4 linked regions of the Tamandua tetradactyla genome follow. The protein of the gene in region 1 purifies or fractionates together with the protein of each later gene. This does not show direct contact. Links are inferred from orthologs where the notes say so. Each region holds a gene or a part of one and is shown on either strand. Other genes may lie near its edges. The genes, in order: CDKN1A, PSME3, CDK3 and CDK1.

Region 1 (6,875 bases):
CGAGAATTCTGCTACTGAGCCACCATTGCCTACCCTATTTATATATTTTCATGTGCCAGGGGAGGTTGTAAGCACTTTACAAATATTAATCCTCTTAGAAGGAAGGTAGATATTAGCTGTTTTTAAAGAAGAGGGAATCAAGGCTCAGAAGAGTTAAGCAATTTGCCAGGCCTGCCTGCCCTGGGTTCTGTGTTCTGTGCTGGCACCAACTCCCTCTCTTATTTTGAGGTTTCTTAATCAGAGATACCCATCAGCATCACTTGGGCAGCTTTTTCAAAATCCTCATTGAGAAGATAGGATTTAACAAATGAGTATGACTGCTGAACCAATATACTAATATTTCTTTTGGTCTCCAGTGTCTTGGAGCAGCTAGAAGAAAAAACGAAAAATCGTGGATCTGTAACCCATACCAAACTTTAAAATCTGTTCTATCACTACTTGTTAAAATGTACTTGGAAATTTATTACTTTTTTTGTATATATGTTATATTTCACACAACAAAAAAAGTTAAAATACACACACAAACATTGAGGGGTCCCCTGTCCCCAGACTAACTTCATGTAAATTAAAGGGGATTCAAGCAAGTGTTTGGTACTGCCCCGCAGGGGTGCACTCTTGGGGTGCCAGTCAAGGGGGGCACACTGGATGGCTGAAGCAGGCATTCTGAGTCTCAACAGGTCCTTTGGCACAAGGAGGAAGAGCCTGCCTAGGGCTTTACCAGGCAGCTGGACATCTCCTGGCTGCTAGGAGCTGAAAATGGGACGGGAATCAGGGCAGAGATCTTCTCTCTTACCACTCTTTCCTTTATGGCTCTCCTGGGCCTCTCTTCCCCCACCAAGCACCTGCTCTCAACCAACTCAGAGAAAAAACTCAGAAACACAAACCCTCAGATTTTACAAACAAGTAACAGAGTTCAGCCATATTTTAATTTCCCGGTAAACAGTAATCTCTTAGTAAATACTGTTGAACCAGTGGGGTACTCTTTTTAAGGGGTTAGAGTGGGGGAAAGGATCAGCGCAGCAACTGCGGCCGGGAAGGATTCCCGCAGCTGGATTCCGCGGGAAGACGGGTTGCTGTGCGCGCGGCGGCCGGGAGGGGGCACCGATCTCCAGGAAATCAATCAGGCGCGGGGTGGGAGGTGCGTGGGCCGAGCCTTGGAAGGTGGGAGGGAGAAGTTGTGATGAGTCAGTTTCCTGCAAAGCGCTCCCCGCCCGCCAAAACTCCGCTTCCACTCCGGCGGCGCGTCACCCCTGGGCTGGGAAAGGGGGAGAGCGCGGGGCGGGGCGGGGAGGCCAGGGCCGCGAACACGTCACGCTGAGCCGCCAGGCTTCCGAAACCCCCGCCGCTGTTGGGAAACAACCGCGCACTCTCGCGCCGTCTCTGTCACACACGCACGCACACACACACACACACACACACACACACTCGCGCCTGCACAAGCGCGCCGAGATCTGGCCCCTCCACCTTATCTCCACGCCCAAAGTACAGGATGAGTCAGATCCCTGGAAAATAAAAATAGACGGGAACAACGAAAACAAAACCGCTCGCGCGTCCTCCCCGAAACGCGACGTGGAGCGAGGGCGGCAGGAAGGGAGGTTGGGTGGGAGGGAGCTGCCTGGGCGCCCCAAAGTGCCAAATCCAGTACCGAGATTCTTTTCCACTCGTGTCCACCCGCCGCGGGACAGGGAGGCCTCCCAGTGACCCGCGCCGGGCGGCGGCACCCGAGGGGCGGGCGACTGGCTCTCCTGCTCGGCTCCGGCTGGTCGCCCTCGCACAGTGAGCTCTGGGCTAGGCCGGGGGCGCCCCGAGCCTCCCAGGGCGGCTGACACCGGCCCTAGACAGCTTTGGCGCCCCACACCGCTAAGATGCGACCCCTTCTCGTCTCCCATCCCGGCGTGGACCGCGTGCCCCACTGTCCCGGGGCGCCCGGCTCGGCTTGGACCCCAGAGTTCAGCGCCCCGGACCCTCCGGCAGGCTGGACGGGGTTCTCCCGGCGGCGGTGGGACCGATCCCTGCGCTTCTCCGACCGACAGAGAACGGCAGGAACCCGCCCAGATCCCGAGGGCGCGTCGCGGGGCGGGGGCTAGAAACCCGGTCCAGGACCTCCCGGTGTCCCGGCTTCCCTGGGAACACGCTGTACCAGCCAAGTGGGTCACTGTGCTGATGAACGGACAGACACCAGGGAGAGGCAGGGGTGGGGTCTTCTGGGGGCGCCACCGCCCCCCAGCCCGGGCGGGATTCTGACTTCATCCGGCCCGCTCCCCAGGGTCTTCTTGTCACCGTGAGTCACCTCCTCACTTGCCCTTAAGGGACGTGTCCTGGCACGTTCCCGAGGTCTAGGGACACAGCCCGCGCTGACCTCAGCGCTCAGCCGAGCGGCGAACACCGCGGCGTCGAGCTCCCGGACTTCGGGGGCCAGGGCCCTGGCGACACTGAGTGGACTGATTGGCCCAAGAGCCGTCCCGGGGCGGGGCCCACATGAACCTGCTTCGCTCCGCGTCCCCCGCCCCTTCGGGGACCTCCGGGAACCCGGCCTCATCCCCACGTCGCGAACGAGCGGGGTCCGGGGCGCCTCCCCAACGCGGAGAGTTCGAGGGCGGCCCCACCCACGCCTTCCCTCTCTTCAGCGGATTTTCGAGGGGAGGGGCGCCTGGCTGGGGATCCCCAGGACTCGTGCCCCCGCTCCGCCTAGAGTCTGGGACACATCCCGACCCTCATCATATGCGCACTTACAGCCATCCGTGCGCGCAAATCGAGTACTCACGGACCCACGCAAGTCATTCACCTGCCGCAAAAACACCTGTGAACACAGCACATACACACACACACACACACACACACACACACACACACACACAGCGGCTACGTTCAGCGCAGTGCTCCGGGCCAGGATGTGCTGTCGCCTGCCGCGGCTCCCTCACCTCGTCTGGGTGTCTGTGTCTCGATGAACTTGCACCGGAATCTGGATCTCCAGGCCACCGGCTCCCGCAGCCGCTCACACCTCAGCTGGCGCCGCCCGGAGCAGCCCTGATATAGCCCCTGCGCGGACACGCCTTAAAAGGCGGGACCGGCCGCTCGGCCCACCGCGCCGCCGGGGACCGCCCTCCCCAGGGGCCCGGGCGGCTCCGCGCCCGCGCCTGGCCCAGCTCCAGGTTCCTCGCCAGCAACTGGAGTCGGGGCCTCGTCGGCTGCAGAGGGCGCTTCCCCCCAACCCGCGCGCCTGGGCTTGCGAGCTTGACACATTTCTCCATGAATTTAGCCATAAGCCGGGCTTTTTCTGGTTTGGGAAGTGAGTGGGCTTTGGCCAGGAGAAGGCGGCATTGTTAGGATGAGACCCCTTTCCATTTCTGGCCCATTGCTGACCGATCTGGGCAAGGATTTACCTAACCCAGATTTATAAAAATTCTTAAAAAATAATAAAAATGATGCCCTTCACTTTGCAGTTCCCAGAAAAGTCTCACTACACCACCACTGATTCCACGGCACCTTGGGGTACCCAGACACCCCAGCAAAGTTTTGACGCCAGAGTGGAATTCAATCTCCTTTATTTTACAGATGAAGAAACAAGAGGCCCAGAGAACTAAAGGCTTGCAAAGTTGTTGCTTGCCAATCGCCTCAGGGAAAGAGGGAATTGGAGTTAATTCCATAAATCTCAGAAAGATCCAACCAGGTCTCCAGGAGAAATGGGACAGTGAACCAGCTTCCCCTTACCCCCCACCCCACCCCACCCACACACCTCACTCTCACCTCAGCAGAAGAAACCATTGTGGCTAGGTGGGGAAGAAGCATTGGTGAATGAGCTATCACCTGGATATTCCACAAAAACACACCCCACATTCACTGCTGAGGAAACTGAGGCTCAGAGAGTTTAAGTGACCTGGCTCAGGTCACACAGTGAATTAATGACTACGACAGCCCTTTTGCCTCCATTCCAGAGCTCTGCCTGCTGCCCCCTTTGCTTCAGTAGCTCTAGACCTCATTTCCAGGGGATTTATTGAAGTGACACTGATGAAGGACAATTCTGGAATTCTCCACTGGTGCTTCTGTCAGATATAGAAGTATGTGAGGGGTCCAGCTGCTCCCACCTAACCCCACACACCCAGCCCTCCTCACACCTTGCCTTTGCCTCTCTCACTCACTTCCAACATTTGCAGTTTCTGCTTTATTTTTTTATTTTTTGCAGAGAATAGAGTGTTAATCTGAACAGAAATCCCATTAAAAAAAAAAATAGAATCCATGCTTGGAGTGGCTACAATTACTGACATCTAGGGCTGTTGAGTGTCTGGAAATCTCTGCCCAGACATGCCCTGTCTTCTTCCTTTAATAAGGCTGACCTCAGGGAGGACAGGCCTTTTTCTCTACTGTGGGGCTGGGAGCACAGGTCCGGCTGGGAGAGCACAGTCCCAGACCCTCTCACCTGCCTGATCCTGGAGACAGGTCAGGATTGTACCTAAACCTCAGGAGGGCCCCAGAGATGTGAGACCTCAGGACCCACCCACACCACCCAAGGACTAAGTTTCCCAATGTCCAGCAGAGGACAGGCATATCCTCCTCCTGCCTTGAATCCCTTCTGCTTTTGGGCATTTCAAATAGACTTGACATTGTATGCCTGTTTATTTTGGAATTTTTTCCCCCTTTTAATGAAGGCTTGTATTGAATTATTTAAAGTTTTGTGGCACTGAGCTTCACAATGAAATAATTCTTTTTGTTGTTGTTGTTGGGAAATGATTTTTTTTTAATAACTCCTAGCTCCCCACCACCATTATAATGGAATGCAACAAATATTTATTAAGCATCTACTGAATGTCTAGTAACTGTTCAGTAGTTTAAAAATGTTTGCAACCATGCACTTGAATGTGTAGCCAGGCACACACTTCAAGGGGAAGAAAACTTCTCCCCTGAAGAGGGCAAAGGAGCAGGCTGGTAGAGGTCACAAGATCTAACTCCCACCACATACACACCCACACATACACTCAGCAGTGCCAGATCCCAGGCCTGCTCCAGGAAATCTGCTGTAAATCACATATTCTATTCAGAGAAACTCGGGCCTCCTGGAGAGAAGGAGGCCACGCTCTCCTTGGGGTCTCTGGGGGACCTCCTGTCTCCTACCACCCTCCTCCCTGCCCCAAAGTAGGCAGCCCCAAGGACAGAACAGCCACCAGCCTCTTCTATGCCAGGGCTCAACATGCTGGGACATGTTCCTGGAGGCCAGAGGACAGATGGAGCCACAGCCTGCTGCCAAGGCATGCTCTCCAGGAGGCAGGCTTAGAGACGGAGAGAGGGCTCAGCTTCGGAGACAGGAGAGTCCAGACCAGCATTTCTTCTGGGGCAGAGGAGCAGATAATGGAGAGGGAAGATGGAATGCCCAAGCCCGCGAAAGGAGGATGTGAGGAGGGCCCAACGGTGGCTGCAGGAGCTGCTAGGGAAGAGAGAGGAAGTGCTGGGATAATGTCACCATTTCTTAGAAGAGTCTCGGGGAGTCCCAACCAGGGACAGCCAGCTTTCAGAGGAATTCACCTCCACACAGGCTCCCAAGAAGTGAGGCCCAAGGGAAGAAGCAGAACAGAGATTTATTATATTACTGAGCAGAATAAGCCCTGTATTTTTTAAAAGAAAAATTAGACTGGGAGTCCACACTCTGACCTTATGGGGACTTTACACAGCCAGTGCAAGGGTCAGTACTGATCATACAGTGAGACACAAATATTTGTGGCAAAAGTTATACCACACAAACACTTCCAGCTTCCTAAGCCAACTGCCAAAGATTGAAATTTCACCATTAGAAATACATTCCTTTGGCTTAGATCTGTTCTTTGTTAAATAAGATCAGATAGACAAAGTGCTTATCATAGTGCTTGGCAAAGAAATCCCTTTATGAATATTAGTTATTATTATTCCTATAGTACAAACACTCCCAGGGAAGGCAACCCTTGGGGTTTAATAGTCATTTACACTTTAGTGATTGACTTAGGTAGGTTTCCCAGAAAACACACTCTGAGGTGGAGATTAGCATGCAGGAGGTTCATTGAAAAGTACATTCAGGATCAACAGCAGTTTGGGTGTACAAGAAACAGGATTGGGCAGAGAGAGAAACTGGGCTGTGATAGAGTCTAGAAGCTCTAATGAGGTTTAAGGTGATCCCACTGGGAGTTCTGGAGCTGGGATGCAATGCCTTCAACAGTCATTTAGAAGGCAGAAATGAGGGGCGGGGGTGGGGGTGCTTGATGCATGACTTTGTGCAAGGGAGCTCCCTTATCTGAGGACTATTCCTGAAGAAGGACTCAACTGTGAGCATCAGCAGCCAAAACTGCCAGCATCCAGTGGGGAAAATGTCTGGGTCCTGCGAGGGATTCTGGGTGGCACAGTGCAATGTCCACTACAGTGTGAATGAGTTGATCAGATCATTTAGGGATTAAAAGGAGGTGAGGAAGTACCGTGGTCATAGACCACTTAAGGAGCAAAGGGCTCTCTGTGTCTTCGCACATACCCTTCCCTCTTCCAGGGATGAGTTTCCCTAACCAACCTAGTCCCTCCATCCTCCCCACTGCCACCGCCACCACCCTCTCACTCAATGACCCACCCTAAGTGACTCCTTGGTGTTGAGGCCTTTTCAGGCCTCTCTCCAGTTCCCAGAGCTCCAGGAGAGCAAGCCTGTCCGCTGTGCATTGCTGGCCTGCTTTGTTTACGTGCCTGGTACATCCTCTGAGCTGCAAACGCAGAGATGTTGAGCCCATATTTTATTCATCTTTGTACCTTTGAGATCTGGCAGCTTCAGCTGGGAGCTCAGTGAATATTTATGGAAGGGCCATTTTTGGACTGCACTCTGAGATTAGACTTCAGTGCCCTTGTTTCTGAGGCTTCTCTTCTATTTATTC
Region 2 (7,005 bases), on another chromosome or scaffold:
AGCCAAGTCCAAGCTACCCTACCTAGAAATCTGGTCCAAGTAAGACGCAGCTTCACTCTCAACAGTCCTTAGTTCTGCAACTGTCTCTTCCTGAAAACAACAGGTAAGTCAAAAGCCACTCTCAGAATATCCAGAGAAGCCTCAAAGAAAACTGGAAAATGGAAAAAGCAGGGGAGATACTGCCAGTTGCAAGACATTACCTGAATGGACACCCCAAAGTTGTTCCCATCTTCTATCCTGGGAATCAGAAGCTGCACCCACATTTTGACCTGGAGGGTGAGGGAACCAAAACACTTATTTTAGAACCCTGGCCTTTTCTGCTGAAGTCATGAAGTATACAATTCTTGCTGCTGGGGCACACACCAGGTGCAAAGGAGCCAAGACATCGACTCTGCCAACCCTGATACCACCTCTATGCCTCCAGCCTGTCACCCATTATGGCACGAGCCCATGGGTCACTGGTCCCTGCCTCACCGTGTTGCATTTCTCAATCAGCAGCCGGATCTCAGGTTTCACCTTCTCAATAATGTCCACCAGTTGCTGGTTGCTTTTCAGCATCCCATTGGGCATCACAAACACCTTGGTTCCTGGAAGGGATGTGAAGATGCCAAATGACTGGAGTGAGGGGAAGGGCACAGAACTCCCACCTTCCTCTCTTCCTCCTCAGATCCATGAAATGCTATCTTCACCTTTATCTGTTACAACACGGGCCACGATGGCTCAGCAGCAAGAATGCTTGCCTGCCATGCCAGAGGACCCGGGTTCGATTCCTGGTGCCTGCCCATGTTAAAAAAAAAACTCTATCTGTTACAACACTACAAACCATGATGCCACTATTAAAATCAAACAGAGAATTTACGGGTTAACAAATGAGTATTTAAAGTATGCCAAAATATTTAAGAATAAAGATATTAAAATAAATACATGCTCTAAGGACTTAATGTATCGACTTTTTTATTGAAGGGGGAAAAAAAGAACATGAAAGGGACCCTATGAAAAATCTGAGATGCATAGTCTCTACCTACAGTCTCTCTCCCTTGGCAGCCCACACTAAATCAAAACCTCCCTGTTCACTGGAAAATCAGGTTTAGGGGCTATATAATGACCATGTTTGGAGGATTTGGAAATGTTGACTCTGAAAAATAAAATCAGATACTGCTTCCCAACAAGGAGTGCACCAGATTCATACTGCCTCTCAGGACTGCAGGTCAGAGGGTAGGGTAGGAGTTGTTCTTACCTTGGAAGGCCTCGTCACACTCATCCAACCTTCGCTTCTTATAAGTGGGCTAAGGATACAAAAGTGGTGGGAATTAGCCCATCTTAAACACCTGCATCCCCATGCACCAGATAGCCTTCAAGTTTAATCCCTTCCTTGACCACACAGGTTGTTTTATCAAATTATGAACAATTTACTTAGCACACATAAAGCTTTAGGAAAAGGTTCTTGCCACAAAGCAACTTACACTCTAGTTAGGAAGATCAATCTTTCAAGAAATACGAGGCATTAAGTAAATGGGGGAAGGGGAGGTTCTATAAAGAATACAAAAAAAGGAACTGATAAAAGCAAAGTGAGGTTCACTAAGGGAATATGTACAAATTTGTTTCTCCCACAAAGGAATACAATATTCAATCAACAGTATTTAGAACCTGCTATGTACGAGATACAATGCTATTGCTGAGGTTGCAAAGATGATTAAGGCAGTTTCTGCCTCCAGAAATGCAAGTTCTATCAATGAGACAGTAATGCAAACAAAGAATGATACAATGTCATCAGTATTATAGTAGCATGTGGGCATATGACTGCTAAAGAAGCACAGCAAAAACAGGGACTGGAGTTATACAGCAAGAACTTCTTGTTCTATTAACAGGATTCAAGTCACTGAAACAAAGTCTTGCTTAGAGCCAAAGGAACAGATCAGATAACCTGAGGGAAACCATAGTTAGTTTAGTCCTATTTGAAGCTCACTCTAACACTGAGAAAAGAAGTCAAATATTCTCATGCTATAGATGAACATCAGAGTCAAAAGCGAGTATATTGGAGTGCTCATGCTCATAAGATTCAGAGGCCTGGTTTCAAAATCCAAATCCTACTGACCTCTCTGTACACATTCAAACCGACAAAATGCTGAGGACAGAGAACCTACTGCTTAAAAACAAACAGATAAATACAGAAGGACACTTACACCATCCAGTCCATCGTGGCTATTGGTGAGAAGAATGGGGTCAGGGACTGGGAGATTCATGTCCGAGTGGATCTGAGTTAGGTCATGGATGTTTAGAATTGGTTCCTGAAAGAGAGATGGCCCAGCCCCAAAACACCCTTAGTCTTTTCAAGGTGAACAAAGAAGTATGTTCATCTGAAGGATAAGAAATGAGACCATGCTGTACAGTACAAAAAAAATACAATCAACACACAATCTGTCTCATTTGCTAGAAAGACCAAGGCCAAAAACATGGGGAATGTGAGGAAAGAGAAGGGAAAAAAAACAAAGGATCTCTCACCTTCAAAAAACTATCAAGTTCTAACAACTTCTTTGGGAAAAAATTTGCCACCAAGTCTTCTGCCTAAAGGTGAGTGAAAACACAGCAGAATTACCAACTATGGAAAGGTCTCTCTCTACAGACACCCTCCGCCATGAGAAACTCCCAATTATTAACCAAGACTAATTTTTCTATTTCACTCACCTCGCTTGTGATCCGCTCCCTGAAAGAATCAACCTAAAATTGACAAAAGAAAAAAAAAAGTAATTCAGTAAGAGCAACAGAGTTAAGGACTGGGCTGAGAATCCAAAATCCAGTTAGCTGCCTTTCCCTCACCTTGTAATTATAATGAGAAGCTGAGAGGCCCCCAGACTGTAAATACTTTATTCTTTTGAGGATCCATTTCTCCATCTTTGGAGAGGGAAGAGGGGCTTAAGGGCAGCACAGCACCCCTGTCTTCCCTCCCTCCTTCCCTCCCTCCCTGTGTCTGAGGCCGTCTGCCTCTGATAGCAGACAAAAGATAGGTAGAGGGGATGTGAGCTCATAAACGTGCCAACCCCTACTCAGACCTGGCCTATGATACCACGCAGGCCTGACGCCAAGGACAGGGGTGGCAGCTAGAGTCCGGGGGCGGGGACATTGCTGGGTTGGGGGATTTCCAGGTGTCACTAAAGAATTGAGTCCAACACGTGTCCACCAAGGTGTCCCCGGGGCTCTCTATTACTAGTCGGGGTATACAAGGCCACCCTATATTATCCTTCCTCCCGATACCGTCTCCAAGAGTGGGGGGCTGGGCTAAACCGAGCGGAAGCTTGGAGCTGGCGTCCCCAGGGAGACAAAGACGCCATGGGGAGTGGGGGAGCCGGTCAGACTGCTGTGGGAGCGAAGCGAGGGGTAAGGAAGTCCGACCGGTGCCGCTACCTTGAGCTTCACTTCCTGATCCACCTTCAGCAACGAGGCCATGGCCGGGTCGGGCCGTGTCCGCTCCGCTGGAGACCGGAGGCGCTGTGGGCTCCGGGGAGGGGGGCAGTGGGGCGGGGGGCGGTTTCGGCTGCCCTCGGGACGCCGCCGCCCTCGTTGGCTCACTGCTCGCTGGCTCCCTCCCTATGCCTGTCCGCCCGCCCGCTGCCTGCTAGCTCTCTCGTTCGCCCTCCCGGCTTTCGCCGCTCACACCGGAAGTTACGTCACAGCCAATCGCCCGGATTCCAACCGAGGCACGCACGTGCCCTGCGCAGCCGCGCGGGGCCTCAAATCAATACCCTCCGGGCGGGATTCATCTCTCAGGCTGCTGTGTCCGAGAGGGGTGAAGCAAGCGGGAGAGCGGTAGAGGAAGGTTTACTGAGAACTGGGCCTCAAAGAGACTAAAAAACCGTTTGACCCGGAACTCGCCTTCACCGAAGAGACCTGAACCGCTCCGAGGACAGGACAGACGACCTGTCGCACCCCGGTGACGTCGGCCAGAGGAAGCCGGAGACCCCGGCGCTCGTTTCTCTGGCTAGTCAGCGATTCCCGCTGCAGTTCGTCCACTGAAGTTCAAATGTTGTGGATAGAAGACAAACTCAGTTGTACCAGACTTCCCCACCTTTCCCCACCACCTACTCATAAACTTCTAGACATCAAAGATAGGTGATGGGCAAATTGACTCCCGGAGTGAAGGTCTCATCCAAGGCTACACAGCTGTATGCTTAGAATTTATGCTTTTTTCTCTATGTATCTTATACTTAAGTAAACAGTTTTTAAAAGATCAGCAACATCATGCCTCTTCTCTGCTTATCATCCTCACTGGCTTCCCAGCTAACAGAATAAATCCATAACTCATGCCCATAGCCTACCACTCTGTATGACCTGCCTCCACAGTTCTTTTCATAGCTCCTTGTCTTTTAAGTCTTAGCTAAAATGTCTTCAGAGAGACCTTCCTGAAATCCCCAACTGAAGAAGTTTCACCTGCTCTTGCCCCTTCTCTTCACCACATTATCCTCTTTTATTTTCCTCATCATACCTACCTTATCTGAAATTATCTTGTTTATATGGTCAAAATCTCTCCCTTACAATATAAACTATTAGAGCAGTTCACCACTTTATCCTCCTAGACCTAGAACAGTGCTTGGCACATAGTAGGTCCTCAATAAATATTTGTTTGACCAATGACAGGGTGTTTGTGATTATTCACAATCCTTCACACTGATTACTCCCCAAGCAGCAGGTTACACAGAGTACTTACTATGTCTCAGGCATTATTCTCTATGCTTTACATGTACTAGCTTAATCATCATACTACTCTGTGATAGATACATTATCCCTATTTTATAAATGAGAAAACAAAGCATAGAACAATTGAATAACTTGTTCAAGGTCACAGGGTTGGTGAAAGAGACAGGTTTTGAACCCAGGAAGTCTATATTTCCAAACCCTCAGTTTTAACTTCTATATGCCCTACCTCTCTAGAAGCCCAAGTTAATTTCTCTAAGCCCAAATTACTTCTCCATGCCTTTCTGGCAAAAAGCAGGCAGAAATGTGGGACTACACCAGGCCTATATTAGAAGTCTTTGGAGATGATTCCACTCTCCTTCTCTAGAGGGGGTCTCCTGAAATCCAAGAGGAAGAAGCGGCTGTAGAGACTACAACTACTTAGGAATACTAGGAGGAAACCAATCTAGTTCCACATTATGCCACCCAACACCAATTTTAGGAGGACCACACATGCTTAAAATAATAGAAAAGTCACTTCTGGATCTAGGAATGATTCTTTAAGCAATATAAATTACCAAGAAAAACGATAAGCAGATTTGACTTTATAAAAACTTAAAACCTTGCATCTGGAAAATATCTTAAATAAACCATTCATGGAAATTGATTTTAAAACTTAGGAAAATTTTAAAAACCCAATAGTAAATGAGTAAATGATGTCAAACATAATTTATAAAAAGGGGAACTACAGCAAGCAAGTATATGGCAAAATGTTCATCTTACCAGTAATCAAATATGACAATTAAAATAACAGAGAAGTGCCATTTTTTACCTTCGTGCTGGCCAAGGCATCATAAAACAGGCTCTCTCATCTGCTACTGGAAGCAGAATATATATAATTATAAGCAACCACTTTGGAAAAGTATTGCCAGTATTAATCAAGAGACATGAAATAGCCACTCTTTTAATTTAGTAATGCCAGTTGTGAGACTCTGTCATGAGGAAGCAGTCAGGTACTCTTTGTGGCATTATTTTAGTCACCAAAGCCAGAAGCAATAGAAATGTCCAACAATAAAGGAATACCATAGGGTAGTATAGTTGATGTAATGCAATTCAGTCATGAGAATGATAATTAGAACTGTTTAGCAACATGGAAAAATATTTATTAGTAATGTTAAATTAAAAAAATAGAATTTAAAAATTTCATTACAATTATAAACACAACCATGTTATAATGGATAGGAAAAAACATTAAAAGGGAAATTATAAAAATGATAGTTGATGTGGTAGGATTATAGGTAAATTCATGTCACCATTTTCCTAACCTATATTGCTGTATTAATCTTTTTCAAAGGTTTCATTTTGTTGTAAATTAATTATATGATTATTGTAAAAAAAAATCTTACATTACAAACTTGTATGAAGTAAAAGAAAATCCTCATTCCATTGTCCAGTAAAGATACTGCTTGCTGCACATAATTTTGACATTTTTATTAACATGTTGTTGTTTATATAAATGAAATTATACAATCTATACTACCAAAAAAATTTTTTTCAAAGACAGATAGCTTTTATTTTTGCTAAGCTAATGTTTCAGTTCATATCTTTGAATTTCCATTGATGTTAAACACCAAGTTTTTTCTTCTTAAAAAAAAAAAGATTTACAAGCACTTTTACGGCACCCAAGGAAAGTAGGTTGAAGGTTCATAATAATAATTTTCCTTTTAAAAAACATCCATCAGACCAAAATAAAATCGTTTTAATTAACTCCTTCCTCAATAACTAAAACCTTGGAATGTGCTAAAGGTTACAATAAATAAGGCAGCAAAAGAACAATCAGCTTAAAATGTATTTTTTAATTAAACTATGTAAAATGTATGATATATTTCATGAAGTACAAAGTGTGTCGGACCTAGAATCAAAGAAACTTTGTCACGTGAGCCAAACAAATTGATGAAATACCTTGTCTTCCAGGTAGAAGAGGCAAAACCAAAAAAAATTTTTTTTAAAGAAAAAAGGGCAGGCCATGGTGGCTCAGTGGCAGAGTTCTCACCTGCCATGCCTAAGATCTGGATTCAATTCCTGGTGCCTGCCCATGCAAAAACAAAATACGAAGAAATCTATACCATTTATAATTTTTTATTTCAATTAACAATCATCTCTTGTCTCAATTAGCCCAAAAGCTTCTTACCTAGACTCCCTGCTTCCACTCCTGCCACTCTTCAAATTATTCTCAACAGTAGTCAAATGACCCAGTTATAAAGTAAGTCAGACAGTCTTTTCAAACAGAGGTTCTGGGACAATTGTATACCCATATGCAAAAAGATGAATTTAGAC
Region 3 (7,934 bases), on another chromosome or scaffold:
ATTAAAGAGAGAACTAAGTCCTCCAAGCCTATGTGGGCAAGAACTGCTGGCTTTGACCAGTTTGACCTGGGACCAGTCCAAGTGGTTATAAAAGGGACTGCAGGGTGGGGGGATGAGGAATGTGGCAGGCACGCAGGCAACAGGGAACAGCCTGTTGTGAACAGCCTCATGTGAAGACTGCCCAGCATTGACGGTACTACAGGGAATACCAGGAAAGCTTGCCGCTTGGATGGGGTAATAACGGCCACAAGGGGAAAGAAGTAAAAATACAAGGAGTAAAGGGCAAGTCTCAGGGTATAAAAACAAAACTAACTGGAAAAAAAAAAAGCTAACTGGAAAAGAGGAGCTTTATAAGGGCAGATGAACTTTGAACTTATCATGCAGCGTGGCTTCCAGATTAAGAATCAATACGCACAAGGACAGGGACAAGCCAGTTATATAAAGGGTCAGAGAAGAGATTAGTGTGAAGCCACAGCAGGTGCGGGTTATGTAAGAGGTCAGCTGGCCGAGGGGGTCCTCCCGGCTGGGGCAGCAGCCAGGGCTACCCTGGCACCTACCATAAGCAGGTCCTTGCCCTCTGGCTCCAGAGTGGGCACAACCTCCTCCAGCCCCTTCCTGGTCCACTTGGGGAAGCTGCCCTTATAGTCAGGCAGCTGGGTGACTCCTGGCCACGTGGCTTCACTGGGTGTCCCCAGGGTCCGAAAAATACGAAAGAGCTGGTCAATCTCAGAGTCGCCTGGAAACAGTGCTCTGCGGGTTACCTGGACGGGGCCAAGGAGAAAGAGTAGAGCCCCTGCTGGTCGAAGAGACTCTGCTACCAACGAGCAGCCAGAACGAAGGGAGTGACCCTCAAGATATCTTTCCCAGGGCTTTTCCTGGGATGAAGCCCCTTCCTCAGTCTGTTAGCCAGTCTCAAACACCCCTCAACCCACCTCTAATAGGAAAAGCAGCGAGCCCCGGCTCCCAGCAGGCGCACCTGCCTGCACGCGCCTCCCCCCCACACACACCCGCGGCAATGCATTGTCCCTCTTTACCATCTCTGCAAAGATGCAGCCAATGCTCCAGACATCCACAGCTGTCGAATAGAACTTGCTGCCCAGGAGAATCTCGGGGGCACGATACCACAGTGTCACCACCTGAGGGACAAGAAAACAGAGCCGTTCCTGGGTGCCATTCCTCCAGCTGCCCTTCTCTCCCCCTGACCCAGCAGTACCTCGTGGGTATAGGTGCGCAGGGGCACCCCAAAGGCGCGGGCCAGACCAAAGTCAGCCAGCTTGATGGCTCCCAGCTCATTGATGAGCAGATTCTGGGGCTTCAGGTCTCGGTGGATGACCCGATGAGAGTGGCAGAAATTCACCCCCTGCAGCAGCTGGAAGAGGTAGTTCTGGAACAGCAAGCACGGGAAGGAGCCAGCTGAAGAGGCTGGGGGCTGGCTCAGTGGGTTGATACCTCATCTTCCCCAGCCCTGCCTTGGTACCTTGACTAAGTGCAGGGGGAGCTCAGATGCAGGGCTAGAGTCCATGTACTTCTTCAGGTCCTGGCTGAGGAACTCAAACACCAGGTAAAGCTTCTTCTCGCTATGCACCACATCCAGCAGCCTGGCAAGGAGACGCCAGCGATGCAGCAGCTCCTAGCTGGATTCAGGTAGGCTTGGCATTCACTGTTCCAGTTCCCTGCCTCCTCTGCCCACTTACCTGACGATATTGGGATGGTTAAGTTCTTTGAGCAGGGAAATCTCCCTGATGGCGGTGCTGGGGACTCCCTCAGTCTCCCTGCAGGGAAGGAGGGCACAGCTGTGAGCAGGCCTAGAGGCAGGAGCTGAGGGAGCACTTCTGTGTTCCTTATTCCTGTAAGGATGGCCCACCCCCAGCGAATGGGAGCCTGTGTGCCTCGGCACCTACTTACAACCCATCTGAGCCTCAGGGAGCTGGGCCCAGGGGCAAAGCTGGGCCAGAGGGAGGGAGGAGGCAGTGGGTTGGGGTGAGGACACGTTAGGGTTGCATCTCCGTGGCTGCCTGAATAGAACTAGGCAGCACTCACAGAAGGAACTGAGCGCAGCATTCTGAGATGAGGGAATGGACAGGGCTGAGTGGCCCTGGGCTGGGTGTTTCTCGGGGGCCGTGCCAGCACTCACAAATCCAGCCTGATCTTTTTGAGGGCCACGAGCTGCCCGGTCTCCTTGTTCTTGGCCTTATACACCACCCCGTAAGTGCCTTCTCCGATCTTCTCGACCTTCTGGAACACATCCATGGCCACAGAGCTGCCCGGGAAACAGATGGCGCCCGGGGCGTTCGCCCCCCACGCCCAGCCCCGGCTCCCCCCTCCAGCCTCCTCATGGCACCCCTGCTGAGCACCCCCCCCCGGGCTTGCCCAACTCCCCGGGCCTGCGGCCCACAGGGCTTGCCCCGCTCTGCGGTCCCGGTGGCGGCCGTCCAGGCCCAGCTCCCCGCCCCTGGTGTCCCCAGCCCATCCCTGGGCACCTGGCTCGGGGCTGGGGGCTGCCCCTTGCCCAGCCCAGGCAGGAACCCCCTGTGCTCTTGCCCAGTCCCCAGGGGGAACCGGACGCTGCTGCACTGCGCCCTGCTACGGAGTACAGGAGGGCCCAAACTTCTCATGCCCAGGCCCAAGCCCCTGCCCCCCCCCCGCCCCCCGGCCCGGGCCCCGGGGTGGGAAGGCAGCTCGGAAAGGCTGCCCAGGGGCTGGGGATGGCTCGGGTCAGAGGTCAGGGCTTGGAAGGGTGGCTGGAGCCACAGACTAGCCCTAGGCCACACAGTCCGCTGAGGGGGTAGACCCGGCCCGTTTGGTGATGCTTGGTCTTTTCTTAGGGCAGAAGCTTGTTGGGGGCGGCCCCCCAGCATCCCGGGCCCCCCACCCGGGCCCCTGCGCCCCAGCACCCTCCTCTCAGTGCCACCCTCGCCAGCCCAGACGTCACCAGAAACTGCGCACGCAGCAGCCTCACTGCTGACAGACTCCGGCCCCACGGCGCCCCCTCCTGGCCGCTGCCGAAGCATCACCACGTGCACACAAGCCCTGCTCACGCCCTCTGGCGCCTTTATTCACGAGGACCTTCTGGAGTTTTCCATGATGGCCTGGGGCCCCCAGTGCCCCAGAGCTCGGCCTCCAGCAGCCTTGGGGGGGTGGGGCGGAGCGGGCAGACTTCGGGGCCTGCTCTCCAGGATCCCATTTCCGGGACAATAATTATGGAAAGGGGCCAGAAGAACAAGCCCTCCCCTCTACTCTCTGGTCCCAGCAAGGGCTGTCACTCCAGGGAGAGCGTCTCCATCCACCGCAAGGTTATCTCCTGTTGGTTTGGCCCAGGATCCGGTGAGTGTGTGAGGAGGTGCATGGCTGGGAACTGCCATTTCCTATTGGGAGCTGTCCCTTTCTTGTCGGTACAGCCTCTGTTCCTGGATGGCTTGTTCCAACAAGGGTAGATTGATCCCTTCCACACAAGTCAGCAGCCGGGCCTTCACCACGGAACCTCCATCTGAAAGACACAACCGTCGAGGCACTAGCAGTGATGGCCCAGAGTGCCAGTGACACGTGCTCCAGGAGCATTCTAGCCGTCTTCCCTCCATTTACTTAGTCCTGAGTTTTGACAGCGAGGGGTGGAGGCAAGAAGGACGGTATATAGAAGTTAGCAACTTGTCAGAACTGTGACCTGCCACACACTAACAGGCACATGTCTGAAACTTAGTGGGTGGCCTGAAAATCCCATTTAACCTGGGAAGGGATTCCTAGGCTTGAGCCCAGCTTTCTACATCCTTTGTCACCTTCATCTCAGCCACCTTTTCCATAGGCCCCATGTGCCCCTGGTCGAGGAGGGGATGTGCCCCTGGTCGAGGAGGGGTCTCAGTCACTATCCTAGGTCTCCATTTGTACTGAGGTTAGGGCCCCCTTCACACCCTGGGACCCTCTGGCATTGGAAATTAGGGCAAAAGAAAACCCATATTTTAATATATCCAAGGGGCTGAGCTCCAGGAGAGTTTGGCCTCACAGGGGTAAATCACCTCAAGAAGCCCTATCTAGCCCCTCTTCCAGGGCAGGCTGGAAGTCATTCCATTTACACAGGCCTTTCACAGACAGATTGACAGCAGTGTCCAATTGGTCCCTTGCAATAATCAGATTTCTAGAGCTCACTTCCAAGTTTAATTTCCAATGCCAGTAGGTCTTCTAGAAGATGCAGTGGTGACCTGATGGAATATGTCAACATTCAGGTGACATCAGACAGGAAAGATGTTCTAGTTTGCTAGCTGCCGGAATGCAACACACCAGAGACAGATTGGCTTTTAATAAAAGGGGATTTATTTTGTTGGTTCTTCAGAGGAAAGGCAGCTAACTTTCCACTGAGGTTCTTTCTTACGTGGAAGGCACAAGATGGTCTCTGCTGGTCTTCTCTCCAGACCCCTGGGTTCCAACAACTTTCCCTGGGGTGACTTCTTTCTGCATCTCCAAGGCCTGGGCTGAGCTGCAAGTGCTGAGATGAGGAACGCCGAGCTGTTTAGGCTATGCTACATTGCGTTCTCTCATTTAAGCACCAGCCAATTAAGTCAAACGTCACTCATTGCAGCAGACACGCCTCCTAGCCGACTGCAGATGTAATTGGCAACAGATGAGGTTCATGTACCGTTGGCTTATGTCTGCAGCAACAAGATTAGGTATGCTCACCTGGCCAAGTTGACAACTGAATCTAACACAAAAGACATCTGGATTCACCCTCGAATACTTTTTCTTTCATTCATGCTTTCTCTATTCTCTCAGCACGTCAAGAAGTACACTCGATGTCCTAGGACATTACCCTGTCTATTCTGATGTAGCTTTGTGATAGAGGCTTTCTGATGCGATAAAGTCTAAACCTAGTCTTTTTCGTCTAGGCCATCTTATCAATTTAATGTAGCCTGGGTGCAGATTCTAAACATCAGACTGTTAAGCCTTAATACAGGGCTCCTCTTGGAAGATGGAACTTGTCTGAACCACGAAGTAGCTTGGGTGTCACCAAGCTTCTGTTATTAGCACCAGGCTGCAGTGACGACCCAGAGAGGATGAGCGTGACAACCTTCTGCAGCCACTGATCAGTGCAGACGGTGGATTCTTAGTGCTCAGCCCCCTTTAGGAAACCAATAAAGCAGGACGTCTGCCAAATCTTCAGCTGGTCCTGATAGACCTAAACCTTATCTTGCCACCTAAGTACTCAGAGTAGTCACAGATGTTCAGGGCAGCACAGGGAGAGCAAGGACAAAATCAAGGAGCTCTAAACCCCAACTGGAGCTGCTGAAAACTCAAAAATGGGGGGGAAACATCAAATTTGCAAACTTCCGATATAAAGACTTTCTTAACTGTCTGGCTCAATTTCACAGAAGTTTCCTTACATGATGCCTTTCTTCTCAGCCTGGGGAAACCCTTACCACTAGATTTTTATTGTAGAACATGTTGCTTCTCCCTGTGAATGGAAAAAGCTATTAAATATGGAAATGAGCTTTTTGAAATATGATTATTGCAAAGGACAAATCACAATACTGCTGGTCCATCTGCGGAAGGCCCCTGTAAATGGAATAAAAAGAACTGTGTTTGAAGAAGGGCTGCAGGGAAAGGGGAAAGTTTTTGAACATGACAGCTAGGAAAAGTGAATGGGAACTGGTCATTTGGGAGAATTTCTTCTTGCAAAGATAAAGAAGCCAGAGCTGAGAAAGGATCATAGGTTACAAAGGCCAGCCCAGGACTGCTGAGTGAGGGATGAGTGAGAGATAAGGAAAGGGAGATAATGGAGAACAAGTTTGACTGTGAAGGGAAGGAGGAGCCTAGTTAGGGAAGGGTGCAGAGTGAAAGGTGATTATCATTTTAAGTCAGAGGAGGCTCAAGCACATTATATGCTGAAAGAAAAGAACCAGTGCAGACAAGTTAAGTGTACAGTTGAGGGTGGAATATGGGAACTCTATATTTCATACATGATTTTTCTGTAAACCTATAACTTCTGTGATAAAAAACAAGAGAGAACACAGCCCCTGCAGGAGGGCAGTCTGGGGGTCCGAAGGAATGGATGGGCGTTTGGTGGGGTGGGGTGGGGGGAGGCTAATGATGAGTGAGGGGCATATGATCTTAGGAGGAGGGACTGCTCCTGGAGCCTCCATTTTACATAGGAAGTAGGTGGGTCATCTGCCGAAAGGGATGGGGGAAGCTAGGTAGTAAGAGGTCCTATCTGATGGCGGAGGGGTGGGTAGCATGGGAGAGGGGCTTGACTAAGATGCCTGGAGGGACTTCCAGGCAATGTGGAGGGTTCCCAAGAAATGAGAGACACTGAAATCATTGTGCTGCAAATTCACCGAGTTCTGTGGTCCTTCTTCACTCAATAATCCGGGGCAGGATCAGAGAAGTGGGGAGGTTGGGAGCTAATCAGTGTGATGGAAGGAGGGCAAGAGGTTGCACTTTCTGCCAGAAAGGGGAGGAACTGAAGGGGAGAGAGAAGTTGGGAGAAAAGTCCAGGAATCCAGAGGCCTGGTGCGGCTGAAAAGGAGGCAGCAGGAGGACGTGCAGGGACAGGAAGGTACCAAGAGGTGAGGGAAGCCTACGCCCCACGCCTCCATCCAGAACATTAAGTTCTCAAGCCCTTGGGTGTCACAAGAAAATACAGGAATGCTGTAGCATCGGGTGGCAAAGGTGGGGTAGTTCTAGGGAAGACAAGGTCCTAGGTGAGGCCCCAGTGCGAGAGGCAAAGTGAGGCAAAGGTGCCTGCTGGTAGAACTGGCTTCCACCGGGGATGGGAAAGGTGTGCGGTGACAAACCACAGGAGCCACAGGGATCCAGGCACTCCCTCTGGGTTTGGTGGCCTGAGCAGGACTGCCTGAGGAAGGTGGTAGTGGGGAAACTGCCATCCTGGGGAAAAGCCAGGTTTCAGTCAAATCCCGAAGAAGGTGAGAGCATAAGAAAGAGGCTTGAGGAAAGGCAGACAGAGGGTGGAATGGGGAGATGAGGTTCGATGGAAGAAAACCAAAGGGTGGTGGGATTTATGGACGGCCACTTGCTGTGGCCGGTGACCTCCAAGTATACAGCAAGGAGGTCTGATGGAGAGGTGAGGGAAGCCTACACCCCATGCCTCCATCCAGAGCATCAAGTTCTCAAGCCCTTGGGTGTCACAAGAAAATACGGGAATCCAGGGCAAGGGGACTGTTCTAGTTTGCTAGCTGCTGGAATGTAATATACCAGAAACGGAATGGCTTTTAACAAGGGGAATTTAATGAGTTGCTAGTTTACAGTTCTAAGGCCGAGAATTAAAACAATTAAAACAAGTCTATAGATATGTCCAATCAAAGGCACCCAGGGAAAGATACCTTGGTTCAAGAAGGCCAATGAAGTTCAGGGTTTCTCTCTCATCTGGAAAGGCACATGGTGAACACGGTCAGGGCTCCTCTCTCAGCTGGAAGGGCACATGGCAAATACAGCATCATCTGCTAGCTTTCTCTCCTGGCTTCCTATCTCATGAAGCTCCCCGGGAGGCACTTTCCTTCTTCATCTCCAAAGGTTGCTGGCTCGTGGACTCTGCATCGTGGTGCTGCAGCATTCTCTGCTCTCTCTGAGTCTCTCTCTCCAAAATGTTTCCTCTTTTATAGGACTCCAATAAACCAATCAAGACCCACTCAAATGGGTGGAGACATGTCATCCCCTAATCCAGTTAAACAACCATTCTTGACTAAATCACATCAACCAGGGAGATGATCTCATTACAGTTTCAAATATACAGTATTGAATAGGGATTATTCTACCTTTATGAAATGGGATTTATATTAAAACATGACTTTTCTTAGGGGGCATATATCCTTTCAAACCAGCACATTCCACCCTCTGGCCCCTAAAAAAGACATGTTTTTCCCATATACAAAATACATTAATTTCATAACAATATCAGATATCCTTAAACCTTTCAGTAGCAATACAAACAA
Region 4 (7,860 bases), on another chromosome or scaffold:
ATCAGGCAAGATGTTCCAAGGGCTTAGAGAGCACCTCCTCTACACAGATATTTTGTGTACTCACTACCCACACAAAAAAGCATGTGGGTAGTGAGTAACAGGAGAAGCTAGACCATGGAAACTTCTTCTCATCACCAGATTTGTAAAACTACAAGAAGAGACTTTGGTGTTATCATCTGCAGTTCTCTTCTTCAGGAATACACTCATTAATTCAGTATAAACAATTATGACTCAGACAATTTTTTGAATCTGGAATACTTAGAAATCATGCAAAATAGCATTTTCCAGAATCCCTGTGTTTGCGGGGCAAAAAATTACAGCAGTACTGCAAATAGCTGATAATGTAGAAGAAATCTGATAAAAGTTTTATGGCATTACCAATAATGAGCTAAGAAGTTAAAATAACTTTCTTTGTAATTATGAATAATAAAAAACAATTTTGATCCATCCTGATACAGGAAAGACTGAGTTATCTTTTTTCTCTATACAGAAAATATTACAACACAATGTCATATGAAGAGACAAAGACATCAAGCTTGCCAGGTGGGTTAACAAGTAAGCATTTAAAATATGGATGTCAAAAATATAGCCATAAAATGTAGGGCAATAGGCATTATAAAAGTGTGTCAGGCAAAATAGAAAGACTTTTGGTGAATTTTGTAATTTTGTGGTATTCTTCAACTTGTTGAATTTTACAATTTTATGATTTCTTTTCGTATTCTCAATACATATTTCCCATCACATTTAATTATATATTCTTTTTCTTAAAAAGGGCCTGCAAATGATCCAAGCTTCTGGAACCCATAAAATCTGGGACTGTCCTTGGCTCTCTGCATCCATATGGACATCTCCTGGTACCTCCCAACCCACAAGCCCAAAGTGGCACTTCACCTCTCACAGCTGCCCATCAGACACTTTCTGGACTGGTAGTGGTGTCAGCCTGTTTCCAAGCCACTTATATACCCAAGAGTCACTGGAGATGACTCTCTCCTATTTTCACCTCACTAAATCCCTCACTGAGGCCTTGCAGTCCTATCTCCTAACTATATATGGCGGCCATTTCTTCCTCTTCAAGCTGACCACCACCTCCCGTAGTTAGCATCTGCCGGAACAGTTGCTTGAGCCCTCCACTACTTTTCCTGGTTCCAAAGTAACCTCTCTCCTCACACCTTATTGTCAGGTTTTAGACGGTAGCTGACTGAGAAATCAGAGAAACTGAGTCCGAGTTTAAAAAGTTTATTGTCCCGGGGCGAGGTTCCTGGGTCCAGGTGTTCAGGGTGCGGGCTGGGGAAGTCGCCCCCCCCTGGGGGCGGCGGGGCTAGATATAGGCTAGCTAGTGGGGGTGCCGACGATGCCTACCGGGCCTTCTGTGGTAGGTTAGGAGTTTCACGCGCTTTAGGGCTGGGGGGCATAGCTACAGGCCTTGGCCGGGGGCATAGCTACGGGCCGTGTGCAGTGGGCATAGCTACGGGCCGTGTGCAGTGAGGGTCCTTTGTTTGCAGGGCAGGTCCTGATGGCTGAGTTTGAACAGCTGTATGCCTGGATGTTCACGGGTTTTAGTTCGGGTGGGGGCCTTCCAGTCAGAGGTTAACAGGCCTTACATTTATCTTCGGTGACCTTTCTCCCCCTAACTCTCTCATCTGACTATGTCACTCTCATACTCAAAATTTTTTCAATTCTATCCTCCAGTCCAAATTCTATGGCATAATCCTAAAAGGCTCTTCAAGATATGGCTATTGTTTAATTGCCTAGCCTCATTCATTTGACCCTTTCTTCAGTACCCAGACTCTCTTTATGATCTGGCAATATTGAATAATTTCATTCTCTTAAAAATGCCTTGTTCTTTCTTCTCAATCAACCAGGAAGCTCTCCGCACTTATTTGCCTGTCAAAACTCTTCATTCTTCAAGACCCATGCCACTTCTGCTATGAAGCCTTGCCTTCCTCCCTTCCTCCTCCCACCTTACACACACACACACACACACACGTGCACACACACACGCATGCACACACACTACTTCTGGTAATCTGTGTGCTCTGTAAGAGCATCCCTCACCAAATTGCACTTGAAGCACTTGTCCCCCATCTAGATAGGAAGATCCTAGGGGCCAGTGTCCATATTACTGACCTGCTGCCCTTGGTCCTCATTGGCCCCTAGGTTGGTGAGTGAATCTCTCCTCCCTACCCCAATCCCACTGCCTGAAAGAACAATGAGATAAAGGTGCGTTGACAAGCAAGCACTTAGTGTGGATACCAAATGTTAACCGTGCTTGCTCTTTTTCTCTCCCTTTTGTTGGAGGAATGAAGGTGAGGTATGGAGGTTGTATATAATGAACTCTCATTATCCTCATTTTACATTTTGAAATTGCACAAAAATACTTATTAGTATAAAAATTAGAAAAGTTCCTAAGGAGCCACCTTACTAGTTCTGCTTTCAGCTGTGATTACGAGATCTCAAATGTTTCTCTAACAACTTCAATTTCTGAATTAACCTAAAGGAACATTATTTGACTTCTATTGGGTAAGTATATCCAGCAACTTCTATTAATTTTATGCAGTAGAAAAAGGGCTTTGGCCAGAGTCATTCATTCATTCATTCATTCATTCTTCTTTGGACTAAGCGGTAAACTAAAACTGTTCAAAATTAAAAAGATGCAAAAGTTTCCTTTTCACCTCTGTGCCCCAGCCTCTCTTCTCCACAGAGGCATATTGTTATGTTTGTGGCGTCTCCTTTCAGAATAGTATATGTATTAACAAGCAAATATTTCTCAAACTTATTTTTATCTAAAAAAAATCTGAAAAAAAAGTTATGGGTAATGCCAACTGATCTTTTCTTTTCCTTATGTAACAGAGTTTACTGAAACATAAATATGAAACTTTGGGGGGGCACATGCCTTTCTATACCTCCCCTCTTTAGTTCTGCTTTTAGATCTCAGTTACAGTTGCTGTTTTAAAATATCGTTCCAAGCTTGTCCCTCTTCTGCCCAGACTCTTTGGAACAGTGTTGAGTGCTCTTCAAGATTCTGACTCCAAACTCTTTTCCCTAGCTTGATACCACTGGTACCCCTCTATATGCTGAATTACTCGGGAAGACTTTTAAAAAATTATGGTAACATATATAAGATATGATTTCCCCCTTTTTTTTTTTGCATGGGCAGGCACCAGGAATCAAAACCGGAGTCTCCAGCACCGCAGGTGAAAACGCTGCCTGCTGAGCCACCATGGCCCACTCCCATTTTTTAACATACAATTCAGTGGTGTTAATTACATTCATCACCATCCATTACTAAAACTTTTGTCATAACACCAAACAGAAACTCTATTTTAATAGCTCCCCTATTCTCCCTTCCCCCAACCCCTGATAACCTTTAGTTTGTTTCTTTCTCTGTGATGAGGTTGGGGAGGAAAAATGGTCAGTCAAGTCAGCACTGAAGTTTCTGGAGTTGGTGGAAATGGTAAGAGTTATGGACACAGAGAGATTATATTTGGTGAGAGAAGATGTTTGAGGTTAAGCTGACAGTGGGAACTCCAGGTGCAGATGTCTGTGAATTTTCTCTGTGAATTCACTTATTCTAGATATTTCATCTAGGTGAGATTGTACAATATCTCCCCTCTTGTGTCTAGCTTATTTCACTTGGCATCATGTTTTCAAGGTTCATCCATGGCAGAATATGTCAGGCAAAGCCTCTGTGCTTTGTTCATGCCGTTTCCTCTGCTTGGAATGCCCGTCCCACAATTCTTTCTAAAGTATTTATTCAAATGTCACTTCCCCTGTCAGCATTAGTTTTCTCCTCTGTGTTCCCCTGTCATTTTATAGCATAAGTTACAATTTAAGTACCAGAAGAGAGTTCTAAATCATCTTTGTGCTTCCCCCCTCTTATACTGAGAGCAGGAATGGTATCTTACTCATTTTTGCATTTATAAAATACAGTGTTGCACTTTACAGACACTGAATATAGGTTGGCTGAAAATATAATAAACTATATGTGTTAAGAGGATAGCTTGAATTTACAATAACCCTCCTGAAATTCTGAAAAGAAAGAGAATCGCATTAAATTAAAAAAGAGTAGCATCACAGCTATGGAAGCTTATGGTCTTCTTTATGCTGAATGTAAAGTGAATATAATGCATTAATTGCATTTTTTAAGATGATACAAATTGAATTCCATGCCTAAGCCTTCCAGAGAGAAAGACGTATATTCATTTATTAAAATCAGTAACCCAAAATAACAGAGAACAGCCTGCCTCCCTAGAGCACCACTCTGGGGAAATGAAGGCAGTTTTCATGTAAAGAGTGAATTTTTCATTTAAAAGTAAGCTTTAAAAACTGTTAGGCTTAATTAGGGTATTTACAAGCCCCTACCCAACAACCCCACATGTTCTGCCTCTGTGGCCTGGGAGGCTAAAATAGTCAAGACTGAGCCTAAGTGCCACATATAGGGCCAAACAACAGATGTTGCTTCTCCTATTCGTTGTGCAAAAATGCATGAATGCATGTGATATACTAGTTCCATTCCTTATCCTACCCTGGGTATTCTAATTCATAGTTGAAGAGGTCGAGATAGTCATTCTTTGTTCTATGTCCAGTTAGAGTCAAGGCAAAGAGGAATTCTTCCTAGAGGACTCTTACTACCCCGGGTTCTACATACTGTTTTATTTCCTTAAAGATTGAATGTTCAAATGCAAAGATCTTTCTTAAGGATATGGTGGTGATGCTGTGTTATTTAAAGAATAACTTGATTCCTTTTTCTTCCTTCAAAGAATTATGAATTTTGTGTTCATATGTAAAATTTTGATGTAAAAATAATTTAATATTGTAAAAATTTCCTTTAGATTTTAGGTCTTTCCATTTTCCATCATCTTCAGGTAAGTGAAAACGTGCTCTTATGGAGAAATAGGCTCATCCAGCAAACCACTCAATTTAGAAAAACATAAATATACATTAGCCTTAAGCACGAGAACTGAACGGAATGGAATCTTGATGTAATGTGATAAGCTATTTGAGCGCAATAATTTTTAACTGTACCAATTCCGGAAGGAAAAAAACCCGAACGAATAGTAGATTCTCAAGACGAGAAACAGTAGAACGACGCTTCCCTGGGATGAAAGACGCCCCTGTGTTCAGACTCAGTTGGCGCCCGCCCACCTGCTTTTTCTCCAGCCGCCGTTTCCTCTTCCTTTCGCGCTCTAGCCGCCCGGGAAACCCAGCCCAAGCGTAATGTGCTCTGATTGGCTGCTTTGAAAGTCTACGGGCTACCTGATTGGTGGATCGGAGACCCTTTAGCGCGGTGACTTTGAAACTGCTCTCACTTTGCTTCAAACCTGGCTCTTGGAAGTTGGGAAGGAGTGACGCCGACGTGGTAGCTGCTGCCACCACCGCGTCGGATAAGCCCGGTAGAGTTGCAGGGGCCCGGGTCGTACCTATGGGGCATGTACTCGGCAGGCGCCGGCTCGGGGGCCTTGGGGAGGGGAGTATTGAAAGCCCTGCTGGGGAGCAGGGGGTGTGTGCGGCAAGGCCGGGCCTCAGGGTGGGCTGGGCCCGGGGCTCGGAATCCCGGGCCTGGGCTTTAGGGGGAGTTTTGTGGGAGCACAGCCGGATGGGCTTACTCTGGGGAGGGCTGAGGCTGCCCTGGCCTCGGAGTTCCCTTCTGGAGGTCTGAATCGTCTGTTTCGAGGAAGAGGTCGCCCACCCAGCGGAGGAGGCATTCTGGTGTCGGTGCAAGCTGGATTGAAGCAAAATCCGTGCACAGGTTCGAGGACGCAGGGTGCTGGTGAGCGCCAGGCTCGCTCATGGGCCCTGCTGCTTCGGTTCGCCGCCTGCGCTTCATCCTTCGGCTGCTCCGGGGGTGGAAAGCGAGACCGCACCTGGGCCGGGCCCCACGCCAGTCTTTAATCCCAGTCAGTCTGAGAAACCGATCCGACGAACTTCTGGGCTCTCTCGGGCTTCCTTCAGCACCCATGTCCCTTACCTGACCGGAAATTTTAAGAACCCGTAGCCAAGGCACAGAGCCAGTGGAAACTTGGGTTTCTTTTTTTTTTTTTTTTTTTTACTTGTACTTTACACTCGTAGCTAGTATATCACTGGCAAAAAGTGGAAAACTAAGAAATGCCGAGAGAGAAACATGTGTTCTTAATACCTTTGTCAAGGCCTTTAATCAGTGTTGATCCATTACTAAAGTTACTAGTGTGCATTCTGGACCTGGAGGTCTCTGGGAAGGGAAACTAAGCCAAAGATATTTTATATCCTACAGCTGTTAGAACAGAGCCGCGGGACGCATCCAAAAGGCATTCTGAAGCAGCATGTTTTATTGATAATTGTTAAAGTTGGAAAATAGAAGGGTAATTGAGTCCGGCTTTGAAGTGGAGTTAGTTTTTAGCTATTAAAGTGAGCGCAACAATTTTATTGTGTTTTAGCCCATATTAATTCTGGTCACTTAGGAAAAGATAATTGTGCTAAATTGTCCATTGCTGTTTAATAAAATTAAATTGTAAATTCTTGATGGACATTCTTTTGTTTTGGAGTCAGTTGCTCAGAGTAACCCTTATGATTTTATCATCAGTGATGAGTGTGTTAGAAAATCAATGTAATTATGCTTCAGATTTCTGAGGTTTTGCTTCATTGGAAAACTTAACCAACTGAGAAGATCTTGAGTGTCTGGCTGTCTGTCTGCAATTCTGCTCCTTCTTACCATTCTTAGTGATTAGTATTTGTTTTTTTATTTGGTTCTTGGTGTTGGTAGGGTATAATCAGAACTTTATTTGTGGAATTGCACTTTTAATCTTTTCCTTCTAGGGCATTCAGTGATATCTTCTTTTGCAAAAGGTACCTTGCAAGTCTTGTAATAGAGAAGCACATTTGTCTATGTGACTGCTATAAACAAAGAAGAAAAATTAAAACTCAACTTGCGCCAACTGTAAACACTTAAAATGCTTTTGTTGCTTTAAGCAAAACCTTTCTAATGGGGAGCAGTCTGACCAGATTTTAGACCCCTACTCAAGTCTCCTGAACATTTTCTCTTGAATTATCTTCACTAAAAATATCGTAAAGCAATACAAATCAAATCAAAATAGCATTATTTGCTGATGTATTTGGGTATAACCTTGGTACACAGTAGTGCTCCTTAAAAGTGTTACTTACTTCCATGTTTGGTTTGGAAAGGATGGATTGATTTATTGTGAATTTGAGGGCTAATCCAGATGGAAGAAGCTAAATGTTACACTGGTGTAGAATATACACATATTTCCAATATTTTAGAAGCTAAAGAGGGTGGGAAAGTCTTATTGCAAGAGTTCTTATTCTTGTAAATATTGTCTTAATATAACTCATATTTATGAAATACTTTATATTGCAGTAGACATTGCTAAATACTTAATATGTAGTATCTCATTCATACTTAAAACCACTCTTTGAATTAGTAGCATGTAATCAAGTCATTTTTTCCCCTCATTTTAGGATTTACGGCACCTGTTGGGTAACTATGGAAGACTATACCAAAATAGAGAAAATTGGAGAAGGTGAGTGATTTTAATAATATAAAAATTTTTTAAATGATGATTTAATAATGCAAATATGTCTATGACTTGAAGAAATGTGCACATATTTATTAAGATCCAGCCACTAAGTGTAGACCCCAAAGAACTGGAAGCAGCAATTCAGATACTTGTGCGGTAATGTTCATAGCCCCGTTATTCACAATAGCCAAATGTGGAAACAACTCAAGGTTCCATCAACAGATGAATGGATTGGAGAGGGTAAATAAAATGTGGTATATCCATACAATGGGATACTAATCAGCCATAAAAAGGAATGAAGTTCTGATACATGCTACAACATGAATGATCTGTGGAAAACATGCTGAGA

The links.
Region 2: the proteins of CDKN1A (region 1) and PSME3 purify together in Homo sapiens (affinity purification with western blotting; 3 studies listed by BioGRID). This does not show direct contact. The link is inferred for Tamandua tetradactyla from reciprocal best matches to the Homo sapiens genes CDKN1A and PSME3.
Region 3: the proteins of CDKN1A (region 1) and CDK3 purify together in Homo sapiens (affinity purification with mass spectrometry; 3 studies listed by BioGRID and IntAct, counting the BioPlex papers as one, with this or other methods). This does not show direct contact. The link is inferred for Tamandua tetradactyla from reciprocal best matches to the Homo sapiens genes CDKN1A and CDK3.
Region 4: the proteins of CDKN1A (region 1) and CDK1 purify together in Homo sapiens (affinity purification with mass spectrometry; 11 studies listed by BioGRID and IntAct, counting the BioPlex papers as one, with this or other methods). This does not show direct contact. The link is inferred for Tamandua tetradactyla from reciprocal best matches to the Homo sapiens genes CDKN1A and CDK1.

What each region holds. Positions count from the first base shown.
Region 1 is NC_135331.1:93,465,511-93,472,385, reverse strand, and holds the start of CDKN1A (cyclin-dependent kinase inhibitor 1), read right to left. Parts: upstream 3,014-6,875; 5' UTR 2,922-3,013; intron 1-2,921. UniProt on the Homo sapiens protein: Plays an important role in controlling cell cycle progression and DNA damage-induced G2 arrest. Involved in p53/TP53 mediated inhibition of cellular proliferation in response to DNA damage.
Region 2 is NC_135332.1:24,427,184-24,434,188, forward strand, and holds the start of PSME3 (proteasome activator complex subunit 3), read right to left. Parts: upstream 3,002-7,005; 5' UTR 2,893-3,001; coding exon 2,818-2,892; intron 2,719-2,817; coding exon 2,686-2,718; intron 2,566-2,685; coding exon 2,503-2,565; intron 2,289-2,502; coding exon 2,184-2,288; intron 1,287-2,183; coding exon 1,238-1,286; intron 588-1,237; coding exon 475-587; intron 270-474; coding exon 201-269; intron 91-200; coding exon 23-90; intron 1-22. UniProt on the Homo sapiens protein: Subunit of the 11S REG-gamma (also called PA28-gamma) proteasome regulator, a doughnut-shaped homoheptamer which associates with the proteasome. 11S REG-gamma activates the trypsin-like catalytic subunit of the proteasome but inhibits the chymotrypsin-like and postglutamyl-preferring (PGPH) subunits.
Region 3 is NC_135332.1:16,403,939-16,411,872, reverse strand, and holds the start of CDK3 (cyclin-dependent kinase 3), read right to left. Parts: upstream 3,019-7,934; 5' UTR 2,933-3,018; intron 2,261-2,932; 5' UTR 2,251-2,260; coding exon 2,135-2,250; intron 1,773-2,134; coding exon 1,695-1,772; intron 1,599-1,694; coding exon 1,478-1,598; intron 1,385-1,477; coding exon 1,214-1,384; intron 1,137-1,213; coding exon 1,035-1,136; intron 762-1,034; coding exon 558-761; intron 1-557. UniProt on the Homo sapiens protein: Serine/threonine-protein kinase that plays a critical role in the control of the eukaryotic cell cycle; involved in G0-G1 and G1-S cell cycle transitions. Interacts with CCNC/cyclin-C during interphase. Phosphorylates histone H1, ATF1, RB1 and CABLES1.
Region 4 is NC_135339.1:36,504,462-36,512,321, reverse strand, and holds the start of CDK1 (cyclin-dependent kinase 1), read left to right. Parts: upstream 1-4,851; 5' UTR 4,852-5,393; intron 5,394-7,452; 5' UTR 7,453-7,477; coding exon 7,478-7,514; intron 7,515-7,860. UniProt on the Homo sapiens protein: Plays a key role in the control of the eukaryotic cell cycle by modulating the centrosome cycle as well as mitotic onset; promotes G2-M transition via association with multiple interphase cyclins.